2 linked regions of the Lytechinus pictus genome follow. The protein of the gene in region 1 purifies or fractionates together with the protein of each later gene. This does not show direct contact. Links are inferred from orthologs where the notes say so. Each region holds a gene or a part of one and is shown in the gene's direction. Other genes may lie near its edges.

What was found.
Region 2: the proteins of synaptobrevin homolog YKT6-like (region 1) and syntaxin-5-like purify together in Homo sapiens (affinity purification with mass spectrometry; 3 studies listed by BioGRID and IntAct, with this or other methods). This does not show direct contact. The link is inferred for Lytechinus pictus from reciprocal best matches to the Homo sapiens genes YKT6 and STX5.

The regions. Positions count from the first base shown.
Region 1 is NC_087256.1:1,624,504-1,633,116, reverse strand, and holds the start of synaptobrevin homolog YKT6-like, read left to right. Parts: upstream 1-4,986; 5' UTR 4,987-5,403; intron 5,404-8,429; 5' UTR 8,430-8,599; coding exon 8,600-8,613. Other genes in the region: coiled-coil domain-containing protein 125-like, read right to left, coding at 1-74. UniProt on the Homo sapiens protein: Vesicular soluble NSF attachment protein receptor (v-SNARE) mediating vesicle docking and fusion to a specific acceptor cellular compartment. Functions in endoplasmic reticulum to Golgi transport; as part of a SNARE complex composed of GOSR1, GOSR2 and STX5.
Region 2 is NC_087251.1:41,209,376-41,217,147, forward strand, and holds the start of syntaxin-5-like, read left to right. Parts: upstream 1-4,185; 5' UTR 4,186-4,844; intron 4,845-5,940; 5' UTR 5,941-5,965; coding exon 5,966-6,187; intron 6,188-6,728; coding exon 6,729-6,799; intron 6,800-7,772. Other genes in the region: methionine synthase-like, read right to left, coding at 1,265-1,325. UniProt on the Homo sapiens protein: Mediates endoplasmic reticulum to Golgi transport.

The DNA.
Region 1 (8,613 bases):
TCCACATCTTCAGTAGATGTAGAAATAGCTCCAGGTTTCAATCCTTGACCAAACCCCAAGTCTCCTTCTTCCATTTTTGAAGTAAAATGTTTCTAAAGCATTTTCAGAAGAAATTATATCCAGTTGTGAGATAGCATCCTCACTCACATGAAACAATATTTTAGGCACTTCCGACTGCTGAATTTAGAGTCCAATTTCGCCTGGAAGATAAAATCTCCATTTCTGGTCATCATTAAGACTTAGACCCTGCATTGATTTAAATAATAAGGAAAAATTAAGAAAATGTTAATGTGGAAACAACAAACAATAATAATTTAAAATCAAATTATTATTAACTAGGTGTAGATCTACACCTCTAAAAGTTATATTGCTACTTGCACATTAACCCAGGGAGCTCCGGCCCGCTGTGCCCAGGGGCTTACCATGTATTTGACCATACTCACGGGACTTGCATGATTTATGGTCTAAATATTTCTCCAAATGAATTGTGAAAACATAAATTATGCACTTACCGCGATTATATGGATGAAGGTCTAACGAGTGGCAGTTTCCTGACATCGAGGCACATACTGGAACTTCAAAAAAACGAAAAGTTCTCTCCTTCTTTTACCCCCGTCTCGATCGGCCATTTTTGTTATGAATCGTAACAAAATGGCCGATCGAGACTGGGGTAGGAGAGAACTTTTCGTTTTTTTTAGTATGGTCAAATACACGGTAAGCCCCTGGGCTCCGGCCCGCTGTGCGGGCCGGAGCTCCCTGGGTTACTTGCACATCAGATATATGCTGGACTGTCTGATGTATCAATTATCATCGTGATATTCATGGTGTGTGTATGTTCCCAAGTCAAAGCAGTTTCCCTTAATCTTTAAAAATGAACAATTGAGAAAACATACAACCCAGCATATAATAACACAACTACAAACTAAAATATTCTGAGTAAAAAAATGATGAAAATGTAATTAAATGTTACATTTCAAGCATTCATGTATAAAAAAAAAGGGCCTCAAAAAGACAATATGGGGCCTGGGGTCATCAACTTCAAGCAGGCTTGCCCCGAAAACATCTCCCGAATTGTGTGATAATATATTTTGCTTTAAAATAGATATCAGGGGATTTTGCCATGATTGCATTGTTAACCCCCTATTATCAGCCTAAAGACAAAGTAATGGCAACTGCACGACCGCGAGCCGTCTGTTTAACTTTAACAAGGAGAAGAAAAAAATGTTTAAAAACTCATCGAAACAGACGGCTGCCAGCTGTCTACAGTAGAGGCGCTGGTCAGAAAATTGGGATCGTCCCAGAATACAGGGACTGTCTCAGTTTATAAGGATTTCTTCACACAAGAAATCTAGGAAAGTTCATTCACCTGTCAAGTGCCGACACCAATCAAGTGTGCTAGTCAATGTAAACATATCAGGTTTCATAACAAGATTATTGGAAGACGGTAAGTCATGAAAAATAGACGGCGAACTGGGGGGAATTGAGGTCACTGAATCTATTTTTAGCACTCTCAATTTCCGTAATTGCTGTCTTTGTCCCGTAGGGAGAAGTGAAAAAAAAACGTCCCCATAAACAAGGACAGTCTCAATTTATCAAGACATGATTTGTCTTGGTTTATGAGGATATCCTTGTTTTCTGGGACAATCCCAGTTTTTGGACCAGCGCCTCTACTGGTCTAGGCAATGCTAATGGCCTGCCTGCCGAATGACTCCTTCATTGTTTCATTTGATAAAAGGAAATTTGCCATTACGATATTCACCTATTCACTTGCTTGCCAAAAAGACACGCACGACGAAGGCCGGCCGAAGGCGCGGCAGGGATAAAGCAGCGGATAGTGGCCTTCTGGAGCACGGGGCTTGCCCGGCGCTGTCATCAGGTACAGTCCGGTGGGTCCCCCAGCAATAGGCGGTGAGCCTTGTGTAGGTAGCGCGAGCAATAACAATAACATGAATGCGATCATCCTGGAAGAAAATCTCTACCATAACGTTAGAGATTTATTTTTTAGACTTAGATCTGTTTAATACTTATATAACAATTTTGTTTTTTATATTATTTTAAATATTTAAAACCTATAAATTATATTTTTACGTGATTATAATCTAGCATGAGTTATTCAGGCCGCATTATATTGATTTGTGAATATAATTTTTAGTTGGCAACTACCCTCAAGTACACAAATTCTAGTGTAGACCTTTAAAATATTATGAGTCATTCAGAATGACGTGTCGACCGCTAGCGCTGCGCCCACGCAAGCGACCAATTAGCGCCCGATCACCACAGAAATATGAAAGAGCTTGTAGTGTGTCTTCAAAAAGGTGCAAAAGACGGGAAATGTCCTCTTTTCTAGATGAGATACTGTCAGATTTGATTTATTTTCTATTGCTTCGCTCACAATGTTCATAATTTAAAAATTTCAATTGCTAAAAATCAAAATGTATCAATATGAGAGCTATGCCTATCATTATGAGGATTTAATGATAACTAACACTCAAGATACATTCATGCGGGATTTCGGTAAAGTGTCCTTCGCATATCGTGAGTTTATTGTCCAACCCCATTTGTAGGAGTGCCTCTGTACATTGCCTCTGTATCATATAGAGGGGGCCTCGCGGGTGGCGTAGGGGGGGGGGGGATTGTGCAATAGGGCCCACGGCAAAAATTATCACCCCTGACAGGGGCGGATCCAGCTTTCGCCAATAGGGGGGGGGGGCCGAAAAATATTTTCATCAACATTTTTCTCGATTGGCCGCTATAATCTGATTTTTTTTTTTTTTTTTTTTTTTTTGGGGGGGGGTTCAGGGGGTAGTCCTAAATAGAGACTGAAGTTTTAAGTATATGTTAGTTTTTATTGTTATAAACTAGATAAGGTATATCATGTGGTCTTAATATATAATGCGAGCGCAAAGCACGAGCTCAAATTCTTTGATATTTTATGTCCTTAGACCTGAAGATTCTGAGGAGATTTTATAATCATGAAAAAGATAAGTATCCAACTAAACAATGCGAGCGCGAAGCGCGAGCCGAAATTTTATCATAGTAACGTGAAAAGGGACTCAATTAGGACTGTTTTTATTGATTAATGAAGAGGATACAAGTATCACCAATTAAATAATGAGAGTGCGAAGCGCGAGCTCAAAATTTTTGATATTCCGACCTGAAAACTGGACAGTCTAAGCGCGTTTTTATTTAAATACAGAAAAAGCTGTGTGTCTCAAACAATAAAATGCGAGCGCGAAGCACAAGCTCAATTTTTTTATATACTGACATGATAAAGGAGCATTTTGACAAATTTTGGTAAGAATTTCCAAAGAGGATAGGTAACTCACAAATCAAACAATGCGAGCGCGCAGCGCGAGCTGAAAATTTTGATATAAACAATTTGTGTAAAACAAACAAAATAATTAAAGCTTGATGTGCGAGCTAAAATATTGTGTGCAAATTGATTTCAGATCTGGATATATAAGTGTCATTTAATCCTCTTGAATGGGATTCATTGGCACAGGCAATGCGAGCGCAAAGCGCGAGCGAAATTTTTTATATAAAGTTCTTTTTTCCAATTCTTCCCCTCACCCTTTTCTTGTTTCCTTTTGGGGTCGGGCCGGCCGTTACGAGGTTGTAAACTACACATCCTGGGTATGATACCTCTTTCCTACTTTTCTTTAGTGCTTTTCCTATAGTACACTTTTTCTGCAGGTTGTCAAAAAATAGGGGGGGGGGGCCGGCTCGGCCCCCTCCTGGATCCGCGCCTGCCTGACGCATTGGGCTCAGGACAAGTCCATCCCAATAAAAAGTTAATAAAGGAAAAAACGAAAAATCCAACAAGCACAACACTAAAAATTTCATCAAAATCGGATGTAAATTAAGAAAGTTACGACATTTTATGATTTTCTTTTAATTTCACAAAATAGTTATATGTGCATTCTGGTCTGTATGCAAATGAGGGAACTGATTGCGTCACTCATTCACTATTTCCTTTGTATTTTTTTATATGAAATATTTTAATTTTCGTCTCATTAATTGTTCTGTGTATCAAATTCCTTCATAAACATGTGGAATTGCCATTGTTTTAACATTTTTATGGTTCAGTCAAGTTACACTCTTAAAACAAATCATGATTGACTAGACCAGTATAGCGGCTGGGTGCAACTGATATGAAAATAAATGATTATCACATTTCTGACATATCGAAATAACTCTGTTCTAGTAATACGACTAGAAAAAACTCAAATATGACTAGAATAACAGTTGCACCCACTGCAGCTGACCCTAAGTCATTTTTGACTGGTTTGTCTTTAGAGACGGTGTGGTCCTTTTTGTCATATCTGTAAATTCAAACAAAAAAAACATTAAAAATGTGATGGACATCATCGACATTCTCATTTGCATATCACTGAGTTGTGCATATAATTAGGAAAAATAAGTGAAACTTTGAAATGTCATAACTTTCTTATTTTACATCCGATTTTGATGAAATTTTCACTGTTACGCCGCTTGTTTGATTTCTCTATTTATTCAAATCAACATTGAGTCCTTCAAACACAGGCTGGACAAACATTGGTCTTGCCATCATCAAATTCTCCCCTACATAAAAAAAAATAAATATCCGTCCACCCTCCACGCAACATGCATGCATGTAATCTACAAGTCATTTAAAATAGTCAAGTTGGAACAAGCACTATCAAAAGGAACGACCGGAAGTCTCGACATCAGGCTTGCCTTCTTCTTCCGTACACTGATGATGATGATGATGATGAACATTTTTCTGGGGTGGACTTTACATTTATCAACTAGACCATAAACTTAAGTCTGTGTACCATTCCCGGGTACCATTGACTGCTCTGCTGAACTACATTAGCTACACTTTCCTAGTTTAGAAGGGTGTGTGAAGTCTAATATCAATACACTTTTTATTATTTTTGTTTGCTCTTTTGTAGACACCATAATATAATAAATCGATTTTTAGGTCTGATATTTTCAGGATTATGCGCTAATGGTCGCTAGAAAAACCGCACAGTACGGCGTAAATGAGTAATCGCTCATAAACGTTGACAGAAGAAGCTACAAATCCATCGTTATCACCGTCCTTCGCTACGAGACCACCCATCTGATTCCAAACAAGAGAAGTGACAGTGAATTGAACGATCTGCGACGTGACGTGCCCAGTGATTAGTCAGAAGAGAAAGAGAAATAGTCAAGTCATTCTAACGTTACGTTAGTTTCTACCTCCACTGCTCAGGCTCCATGGTCAAGTGCAGTGTGAGTGTAAATTGTAATGATGAACGACAACTAACAGAGGCTCTGAGTGAGAGTGGAACAGTACTGTCAGTGGAACGTGAACTGGAGTGGAAGCAGTGACGAGTCAGCTCAGAAGATAAACTGAACTGAACGGAAAAAAAGGTCAGGGTAAGTTTCAGACGGCATGGAGATTGGAGGGGAAGGGGGAGGGGGAGGAGGCGACAGCGTATAAAATAAGACAGTCACTGAGTCAGTTTCGCATCGGCCGGCCTCAACTTCAAAGTTCAAGTTCAATTTTTTTTTTCAACTTTCAATCAAGCAAATTTCCCTACCAGGGGCAGTAGGCAGTCTTCAGGTGAAAATTAGGAAAGGCTGTTCCACTTCCACTTCCAGCATGTTTTTTATGCTCACAATAAATGAGGCTCAATATCTACGATTCACAATCTGTTTGAATTTTCAAATTCCGACTTCTAGAAATCGAGTTATTGTCATCTTTGTGATACAAAATGACTTTTTTGTGGACAAAAGATGATTGCGTAATCCAGGGCCGTAATCTTATTATTCTCTTTGTTTTGGGCATGGCACACTTATATTATAATGCATAGCTTATGGGGAATGTACAAATATTTTGAAAGCTTTTTTGCAATGATTTTGACTACCCCTGGACGATTACCCCCCCCCCCCCCCGGACAACTACACGGTACCCCATCCAAAAATCTACACCTAACCCTATTTCGGGGTACTAATTGTCCTGTGGTACTGGTACTCATTGGTAGGTTTGTGCACAGGGTAAACATGACTTGATATGGATTTCTTTTGCTTGAACATTAGAAATTAAATTTTCAATGAATATAATTTGAAATAAAAAGAAAGAGAATTCAAATAATAATCTCAGAATTTTTAGAGAAAAAAATAAAGTCAGATTAATTTCAATTATTTATTATGATTATCGCATTATTGTTATTATGGTCTCAATAATATTTTAAATATTAGTATTGTCTCATTATCATTGTTTCATCATTGTTGTCAAAATTATTGTTAGAATTATAATTATAATCATAATTATAATATCAATAATTATAATATAATAATAATTATTGTCTAATTAATATTATTCTCAATAATTATTACAATTATAATTACTATCATAATTGTTATCATAATTATTTTATAATTGTTTCAATAATGATAAGGCCTACATAATTATAATTATTTTAATTATAATTATTATAATAATGATTGTTATTGATGTCTCATTAATATTATTGTCTCAATAATTATTACAAAATGTATAATTACTATCATTATTATAATTGTTATAATTATTTATAATAATTATAATTGTAATAATAATTATTATTGTCTCAATAATTATAAGGGCTATGATTATTATAATTATAATTATTTTTATAATAATAATTATTGATGTCTAATTAATAATATTGTCTCAATAATTATTACAATTATAATTATCATTATAATTATAATTGTTATCATTATAATCACTTTCTAATAATAATTACTATTGTAATAGTAATTATTATTGTCTCAATAAAATTGAGCTCTTCATCCACAATGACACCAAGATCATCTTGGTGTCATTGTGGATGAAGAGCTCAATTTTAATCAACAAGTCTCAGCAGCTGTTTTGAAAGCTAACCAAATACTTGGAATAATACACAGAACTTTTTCTCAAATAATCTCTGAAATATTACCAATTTTGTTTATAAGTCTGATTCGACCTCATCTGGAATATGGGAACATTTTATGGCATGTGAGATTCAAAATGGATGCAGACAAAGTAGAGAAGGTGCAAAAGAGAGCTTCTCGCATGATTCCTGGTCTCCAGATTTTAACTATGAGCAACGTCTAGAGAGACTCAACCTTCACTCACTGTTTTATAGAAGATGAAGGGGAGATATGATCACTGTTTATAAACTGTCAAATGGAAAGTTGGGGATCTCTAGTGACACATTCTTCACACCAGCAATGCACTCAGCAACAAGAGGTTACAAGTTCAAGCTTTTCATACGACGATCTCGGTTGGAACTTAGAACTAGAAGTACATTTTTTAGCCAAAGTATAATTTCTGATTGGAACAAACTGCCTACAGAAGTAGTGGAAGCTAAATCAGTGGAATCAGTGAAAAGATTTAAAGATCTGTCGGACAAGTTCTGGTGGGGGGGATTGAAAACCTCTATTTCTCAACGCATGTAAAGATTCATAAGTTCAAGCTGTATAGATATACTTGTAAAATACCCAAAGTAAAGACCAGAAAATCTACAGGAGAAGTCTTCATTTCCGTTCCTGATGTGATGAGAGACTTGCTATGATATTTGCAAAGAATTACTGGTGGGGAAATTTGCTTGAAGTTGGCCGATGCAAAACTGCATTTGCGCAACCCTTAGCCTTGATAAATGTTAATTATATTGAATCAAGCTTAACTAACTATCTTACAAAGGTATAGATCATCATTTTATGATAATTTTTGTTTCTAAAGTGATTCAATTGGTACACCTTACATGTATTTGTATATTGATCATGAACAGTGTTCCCAGGTCCAAGCTGAAGAAAATCCGCAAAAGGCACTCGAAAATTCCACCAATTGGAATCTACATGTATATCCCCAAATTTTTCAAATCACAATAATTTCTGAAAAAGTGAGGACATTTACCATGATTATTGCCCAAAACTAGTTAATATGTGCTTGTTTGTTCACACCATACACAGCAGATTTTTATTATTATTTTTTTATTTTTATTAAAGGTTTCGATGCAAAGTAGATTGGCAACACTACCATTGTATCGTACAACCAACTAAGTTCAATGTATCATTCGAATTGCGTAGGAAATGCGCTGATGTACATTCTATGATCTACAGTAGATCGTATTTTTATTATTAGCATCACATTACTGAAAAATAACAAATCTTAGTGCTTTTTATCAAAACCTTCAAATATCCCCTAAAATGCATGAAATTTCCCCAAATTTATTTTAATCCCCATTCCCCAAATAATTTTTTCCATCCCCAAAGGCTTCTCAAAATCCCCAAATTTTCAAAATTTGGACATGGAAATCCCCAAATGGCAACACTGATTAATCAAAATCCAATTATGAGTTTTCATTCAGAGCAATATCTTTCTGAAAAACAATTTAATCCTATATATAGTTAATTTTCTTTTCTTTTCTTGACAGATTTAGATAACTACAGACACCCAAGTCTCTGAAGCAACATAGGCCAGTTTCTTTTCACATGAGATTATAATCATCACTCCTTTTGTCATCAGAGAGACGTTACAAGAAAAAGTAATCTTCATTCCACCTCCAGAGATTTTCTTCTCGCAGTCCGAACTTCCAGCATCATCATGAAATTATTCAG
Region 2 (7,772 bases), on another chromosome or scaffold:
ACATGTGCGCATACATTCCAACACGCGATCAATTTGGTTAAAACGTAAACTTAATTGCCGGTTCAAGTTCTGCGGATTTTCTCAGGGGTACATTAGTCATCATTAATAATAGCCAGGTCAAGATGGCATCAAATTCTGCAAATAAAGGAAAGGTGCATGCTGAAAATCGTGCTTTCCATAAAGAATGGACAGACAAGTATGCTTTCATTTTGCCGCAATCGAGTACAAGGCCAATGTGTTGGCCAATCTACTTTGACAAAAAAAAATATTGATAGGCCTACTACAAAACATTATCTGTCTCTTAAATTCCAGGTATGTGTTAAAATTGACGTATAGGTACAATCTACATTCCTTTTAACAAAGTACAACAATTTTGTTGTCTATATTGACTCTTGCTGTATTTTGAAATCTTTTCTGATATTGCCTGTGTTCCATATGAAACCGTAATTATTTTTTGGATTAAATTCTCCCAAAAATAAGGGCCAGATTGCCCCAGATAGCATCTAGGACCCCGGCCGCAAGGGTCTTCGCGCTTCGCGCACATTTTTTTCCAAAAAATCCACTCACCCTGGCCCTTTCAGGTTTATTTCGAGTCTCATCTGGCCCTTCAAAGAAAAAGTTTGAGAACCCCTGGTCTAGGGTAATAGTATGCAGCGCTTAGAAACATTTGTATTAAGCGCTATATAAATGTTGCATATCATTATTATTATTATCCCTTTTACATGATTTAGGCAAGATCTTTTAGATGGAAAGTAGACTAGAAATCTCGGGGGCAAAAATTTCTGTTTCTTTCACGGTACACGCACATAAATGGGACGCAATTCCTGGCTCCGTGGAGAGTAAGCACATGTTAGTAAATGAGTTTTACACTCTAACGTTAGGAGCCTCCTGCTTGGCTAGCTACACACACCCAACACCTTCTCTATCCACTCATTCAATGAACAAGGTTATGATATAAATAATGTCTCTATCTAACTTCTAAGACAGGTTGTGTGTACTGACGATCAATTTTAGAAAGTCATTTGGAAAAATTTACAAGCGAAGTTTCATCAATTTTTAGTACAAAATGTTAGGAAATATTATAGAGACAAAATAGAAGATGATTATAACTATTAAATTCATATTTTTAGTGTAATCCAAAGACAAACAAGAAGGCTTCAAAAATATAAAGTAGGCCTATCCGAACACCCGACCCTCGGCCCTCCATCCATGATCCTATTCCTAAAGTAAAAAAAAGAGTTAGGCCTAACTTGACTTTGTTTACCTCCTTGTCCTTGAACATGTTCATGGCCTTGACCTTGTGCTTGTGACAGTGTTGGCGGCATGTCTCACAAGCTGATGACAATTCAAACCAGATATTATAAGATATATTAGCAATCGAATTTTGTTCTCTGTTGGCATTGGAGACGAAACAGACAGAGCTGGTGCTGTACTTCGTATCGAAACCTTTCTTCAACCGCGCCGGGTCTGTCGGGTTGGTATTCGTAAGCGCGATGGTTCAGCGCTGCCGCGAGTTCAAGAAGAGACTGATTGCGAAAGATGTCACGTCTATGCAATATGCCCTATGTACGTCGAGCCGGACAAATCGTCCTACATAAGAATCGCCGTAACAAAAATACTCCCAGCTCAGATCGACCCGACCCATATATACTTCAGTTGCTGCCTCATGAAAAACTTATATTTCACTTAACTATATTCAAAATACTTCTCAGATCCGTGACTTCAAATTTGGATTTATAAAGAAAGGAACAGTAAAATTAAAGAAGGCTAGCTGGCGCCGGATTTTCTGAATCAATCGAAAATCAAACAAGCATATAAAAAATTCAATCAAAATCTGGGGCCCGTTTCATAAAGAGTTACAATATTGTTTTAACTTTGCCATTATGGCAACTACCATGGCAACAGGGCTCAGCAGCCAATAAAAATCAAGGTTACCATGGTAGTTACCATAATGGCAAAGTTGCAACTCTTTATAAAACGTGCCCCAGGTGTAAAATAAGAAAGTCATAGCTATAGGTAAATGGATTCAGGTTTTGGCAAGGGGGAGGAGCATATAAGCAGCCAGCGGCGACGAGTATAGTCTGCAGCACATACTTTGATCAACAATCTCTCCACGCATCGACGAGCACATAAACTTGCTGTGGCAATAGGCTTCCAGTACACGTCATGAATATAGGCTGCACATTCTGACCCTTATTCTAGTGAAGCTATAGGGTTGGCACAGCAGACTAAGCCTGCATGCAGTGGTGGCGGCGCCTTTAAAAAAAAACGTAATTATCACACCCGTAAAATCATCGCGGGACTGCCGATTCCGGCGTGACAGTGTGTCGTCTAAAATGCAATATTATTTGGTTTGGTGGAGACAAAAAGGGCGGAGACTCCGGCTTACACTCCCATAGGCCTATTGTGCTCCATGAGGATAAGTATGACTGTGTCCACCAACAACATTTGGCATTTTTGGGGCATATAGTTTATTGACCATCAGTGCAATAACTATATATTTTGCCCATTCTAAAGTAAATTCATAGACGGATCCAGGGGGCGAGGGGCCCGCCCCCCCCCCCCCCCCGCTGGTGGAGCAAAAAAAAGATTTTAAAAAAGGGGGGAAAGACAAAAAAGAGTAGGGAAAAATAGCAGAAAAAAGAGAAGGAAGACGAGTGAATAAAACAAAATGAGGAGAAGACTTGGAAAATAAACAAAATCTTTCATGTTATGATTTATGAACATAAACAAAATTTTGAGTGGCTGTCGCAAAAGGAACTCTTCCCTCAGAGAGGAATCTTTCATTTCACTTCGCGCTTGAATTGCCTGTTTTGGTTATGGGGTGATTATATATTTTGCTCAATATACAAAACATATTTCAGTTCGAAATCGAACTTTCATTATTTTGTTTGATTTACGAATTAATTTTAAAAAGTGCTTTGTAAACATGTTAGTTTTAAGGTCAATATTAACATTTGATTTGTCAGGTAGGCCCTATTATTTTCGTGTATTCCATAAAGTTCTCAAAATATCCATATTCACGGTCGACATATCAGCTACCGATGCACGCTCTCATTTTGATTGGTGAGTTATGTATAGGCCTCAATATTCTGAACTATATTTCCTACTAGGAAGATCATGATTTACAAAACATGGACAGAGTGTCCCGTTTCTAGGTCTAAAATCTGAATTTTCTTCAGCTCGCGCTTCGCGCTAGTATCATTGTTTAGTTACATTCCTATCCCTTTCATGATTACAAAAAGTGCCTACCGTTGGCGGATGGCACAGCCCGCCGGCCCGTGCCCCCCCCCCCCCCCATGGAAGGCACAATTGAATTTTGTAATGTAAAGATGCCGTTAAGACAGAAGTGTGCCCCACCCCCTTTGAAATTGAAGACTTTTTTTCTGCTTGTCAAATTATTTTGTGGACGAAATACCCTTATTAATAAAACCCTTTTTTTTGCTTGTCAAAGTTTTCCTGTAAAAAATGTGCCCCCTTTCGAAAGATCCTGGATCCGCCCCTGCTTAGAATGACCATTATTTTAGGTCGGAATGACAACAATTTTCAGCTTGCGCATCGCGCATGTTACAATATTTATCGTCTTCATGGCTATAACTCGGGGGCTAACTGCAAACAGTTCTTATCAGGCCGGAACGTTTATTCAAAATTTCTGATCGCGCTTGGCCGCGCGTTCGCAGTAATTATCTAGTTATATACATACGCATCTTGTTCGCAGGATCACAAACATTGCCCAGAATGTTAAAATTTCAGGACCAAATAGGCCTACATGAAAGTTCAAAAACAAAAATTAGATCGCGCTTCACGTCCGCTCGCACTTTTTAAATAGGGCTTATGAGATTAGTTTTATAACAATATAGCTAAGAAGTGACAAAAATCAACTCGGCCGATCGGGAAAAATCGGGGGAAATATGGGTGAAAATGATTTCGGGCCCCACCCCCTACTGGCGAAAGCTTGATCCGCCCCTGTGACAAATCAGTATGCACGGACACTTTCAGTGCCCCACCCCCGATTAAAAAGCAGGGACTCCCAGTGTCCCCCCAGGAAAAGAAATCCTATAACTACGCCACTGACATCGAATTATTGATTAAGGGTTATATTGTCTCTTTGGAAATAGTAGGGTCAATGATTGAAGAAAATTTTGGTAGCTTTGGATAAAAAGAAATGGAGGTAGAGGCCACATAGGCCTACTTTTCGTTTAGATCGAACGATGTATATTGAGTAAAGAGAGTTTGATGAGGACGAGTTATTAGGGAGTCTCCGTACTATCCCATGGTACACTAGCAGCTTGCTACGTCAACTAACTCGACACTGCATACCCACTACCTAGCTATGCATGCACTCAGCTCAGCCAGCCGGTGCGGCCACTACCACTATACCGTACACAGACAGACTGTGCGTAATTACCGGTGGCAAGTTGTGATGATTCAACGAAGCAAGATGTTTGTAGATCTATCCTTCTAACGGTTATATTATAGTTGATAGATTGTGGCACGAGAGTCGCATCTGCATTTATTGACAAAGTTATTTTTCCTCAGATTTCGTCTGTCACAGAATTGTTCAAGAAAAGAGGAGGCTTAATCAATAGTCATCAATTCAGAGCTGGTCTTTCGTGAATGACATTTCGTCATGAATGATGTGTGAAAAAACTAACTAACATCGTCATTGAACAAGAGTCTTGAGTCAAGGAAAGAGACGTTAATTTAACAACATTGAGTAAAGGTGGTTGGTGGTTTGATGCGATTGAGTTTCTGAAGAACTTCTTGATTGTTATCTTTAAGCAGACATCTGTTTCGTTACCGAGTCTGAGCTGAAACTTTGGAGAAATTGTGTAATGTAACGTGTAAGTTTAAGTTAACGTTTAACTTAATAACTGTACTCTGTAGTCAGACCAAAGGCTCCACTTTGACTTATTAGTATAGTAATATTAATGGGGATGATAGTAGAATGTCAGAAATTGGTAAAGAATCCCCAGAAACAACAGTTATTCCTGTCCAGTAAAGCACCAACTGTGCCAGCTAACAGACGGAAAGAGTTCCTCAGTCTTGCGACACTCCGACTGGCGACATCGCGACAGCCACCCAAAATAACGAGATTGTCGCGACTTCCGGTCCATTCACTTCTTGTTCCTCCATCATGTTTTTTTTTAAAGAAACACTAAAAAAAAAACGATAGAGGAACAGGAAGTGAATGAACCGGATGTCTCGACAATCTGATATTTTGGGTGGCTGCCTGTTGCAAGAGGAACTCTTTCCCAGTTGGGTCCTTTCTGATGGCCCCGTTCTTCGCAAAATTTAAATATTTTGGTCACTTGAAAATGGTATCCTATTAATTATTGCCTAACATGTTTTCTCTGGGAAAAGTTGTAAAATTTACAAAATCACTGATCATCTATTTTGTTGTTTTGAGAAAATAAGGGCCTTGAAAATATGACCCTTTTTCATCTATGTCACATGAGTTGCCTATACACATCCACACCTGAATAATTAATGATTAGATGAGTGGGCTTCATTTGTAAGGATTTGTAATGTTATTGTTTAGTTTCTCTGGGCAGTTTTCGATGTGTAGAATCTAGACATTTCATTCCTGTTTTTTTTTTTGGGGGGGGTCCACATTTTGTGCTCTTTTCAAGAATGATTACCAGTCAAAATATTTCTATTTTGGGGGGCTTTTTACATCCTGCCTAAATCTGCATTTAATAGATCAGCTTTAAAATAGTGAATGGGGATTTTCTAGGGTTTTTTTTTTATTTCCAGAGCTCTTTTGGGGCAAAATCTGAGCTCCAGTATAATTTTTCTCCCTGATTTACATTTTGATACCCCCCCCCCTTGCCAGTTATCTTGATGCAAATACTTCTTTATTCAGAATTCAATCTTTCAAGGGCAATCAATTAGAGTTATTGAGTTGCGATATCACCAGTTGCATTGTCTGTCTTCCAGATCTTGGCAATGCCATACACCACCAATGTACAATAGACGTCGACACCCTTCAACTGAAGAAAACATTAGTGAGAGCAGCAGGTTTTCCGGTAACAGTGGGTACCACCAACGCAGCGGTTGGACGGTCACTACTCACATTCCACCAGAGACTCTTTCCACGGCAGGAGGAGTAGATACTGGCGATATGACTTGCCGAGATCGCACCCAGGAGTTCCTCTCCACCATCAAGTCCATGCAGTCAAGACAAGTAAGTATCTGGAGAGGGGGGGGGGTAAACTTTTCATTATTCATACACGTGCCACTTTCACTTTCAGAAATCTAAAATTATTAGACAATGTGTAACATTCCATTTTATTTGATGACATCACAATGTACATCACATGTTAGTCATATTTCATAATTGTTTGAATCATGTAAAGGATATGTTGGGTCAGTTCTTAATGAAATTGTGAACATACAATTTTTTTTTCTTTGGGTATCAGAAATGGGAATATTAAAAATCTTTCATGTTATATTAACTAAATACATGTAACTGATAACTTGAATGCTTAGATCAAATACAGCTTTACTATTTTAACTGTTATGCAGTGTATATAAACCTTCGTTAAATTCTTCTTAGATCATTTGTTAAAAAATATTTGTAGTGCTTGTCCCTCTTATCTTATAAAACTTTTATTAGAGGTTTAGTCTTTTTACACATGTTAAACTTTCTTTTGAAAGTGTACCCAAGTCTTGAAATAGAAATGATAAAAGAGAAGAAACAATAATAAGACATGTTTATTTTGCAGGGCAATGGAGTGACAGCTAACAAACTGAATGGAAAGCCACAACAATACACAGATTTCATGAGAATTGCAAAGTAAGTTTCTAGGCATTAAAGGGAAATCCCCCCCCCCAAAAAAAAAAAAAAAAATGTTTTTAGAAGAAAAAGGAATATCAGACAAGTAGATAGGCAAAAGTTTAAACAATATTGGACAAACAGTAAGAAAGCTATGAATTTTTTAAAAGTTGTAAAAATTGGTAATCACTTATACCCTTGGAGAATTCAAATTAGCCGTATGGTGATGTCATACTGGTGTAAGGCAAGGAGTACTTTTCCATTTACTCCAATACACAAAATGGCTTTAATTTTTTTTTCGAAGGTTTTACTCTAAATTATATTTTCCTTATGAGGACATTAAAACAATTGATTACCTTGGTTGTATTCTGATTACTGCCCTAGGGCAATTGATAAAACCACACATCCGTGATAATATTTTAAAAGTCGGAACTTTCTTATTGCTTGTCTGCTTTCACCATTCTATTTACTTATGTTTTTTTCCCTCTCGCACAACTTATTATGACCAAGGTTAGCTTCCCCATAATCATTTTCATGTGCAGAGTTGACCAAATAGTCTGTAGAATATATCTGCCCCTGCTCGCAAAGAACATGAGGGATTGCTAATTTGCTAAATTTCACCTACTCTTTCTTTATTCATATTTTATATTGTTATGTACATACATGTATGTCATTTTGTTATATTGCATTATGTAATGTTTATATTGATTTGTAAAATATTTTCTAATATACTTTTAAGGAGGTGTGAAATGAAAAAGAATTGAATTTAAATCTAAATTATATCAAATTCAGTTTCTCTCCACCCTTTTGCATGTATTTTCATGCCCATTTAAGATAGAAGTATGTTTTATTATTAAGAGACCACTATAAATAATTCAATTCAATAGAAAATAAACAAACAAAATTGTTTCCATGTACTAAATATCAAATTCATCTTAGTTTTGAATGATGTTTTTTTGCATGTTTTTAATCTTATCTTCAAATTTAAAATTGA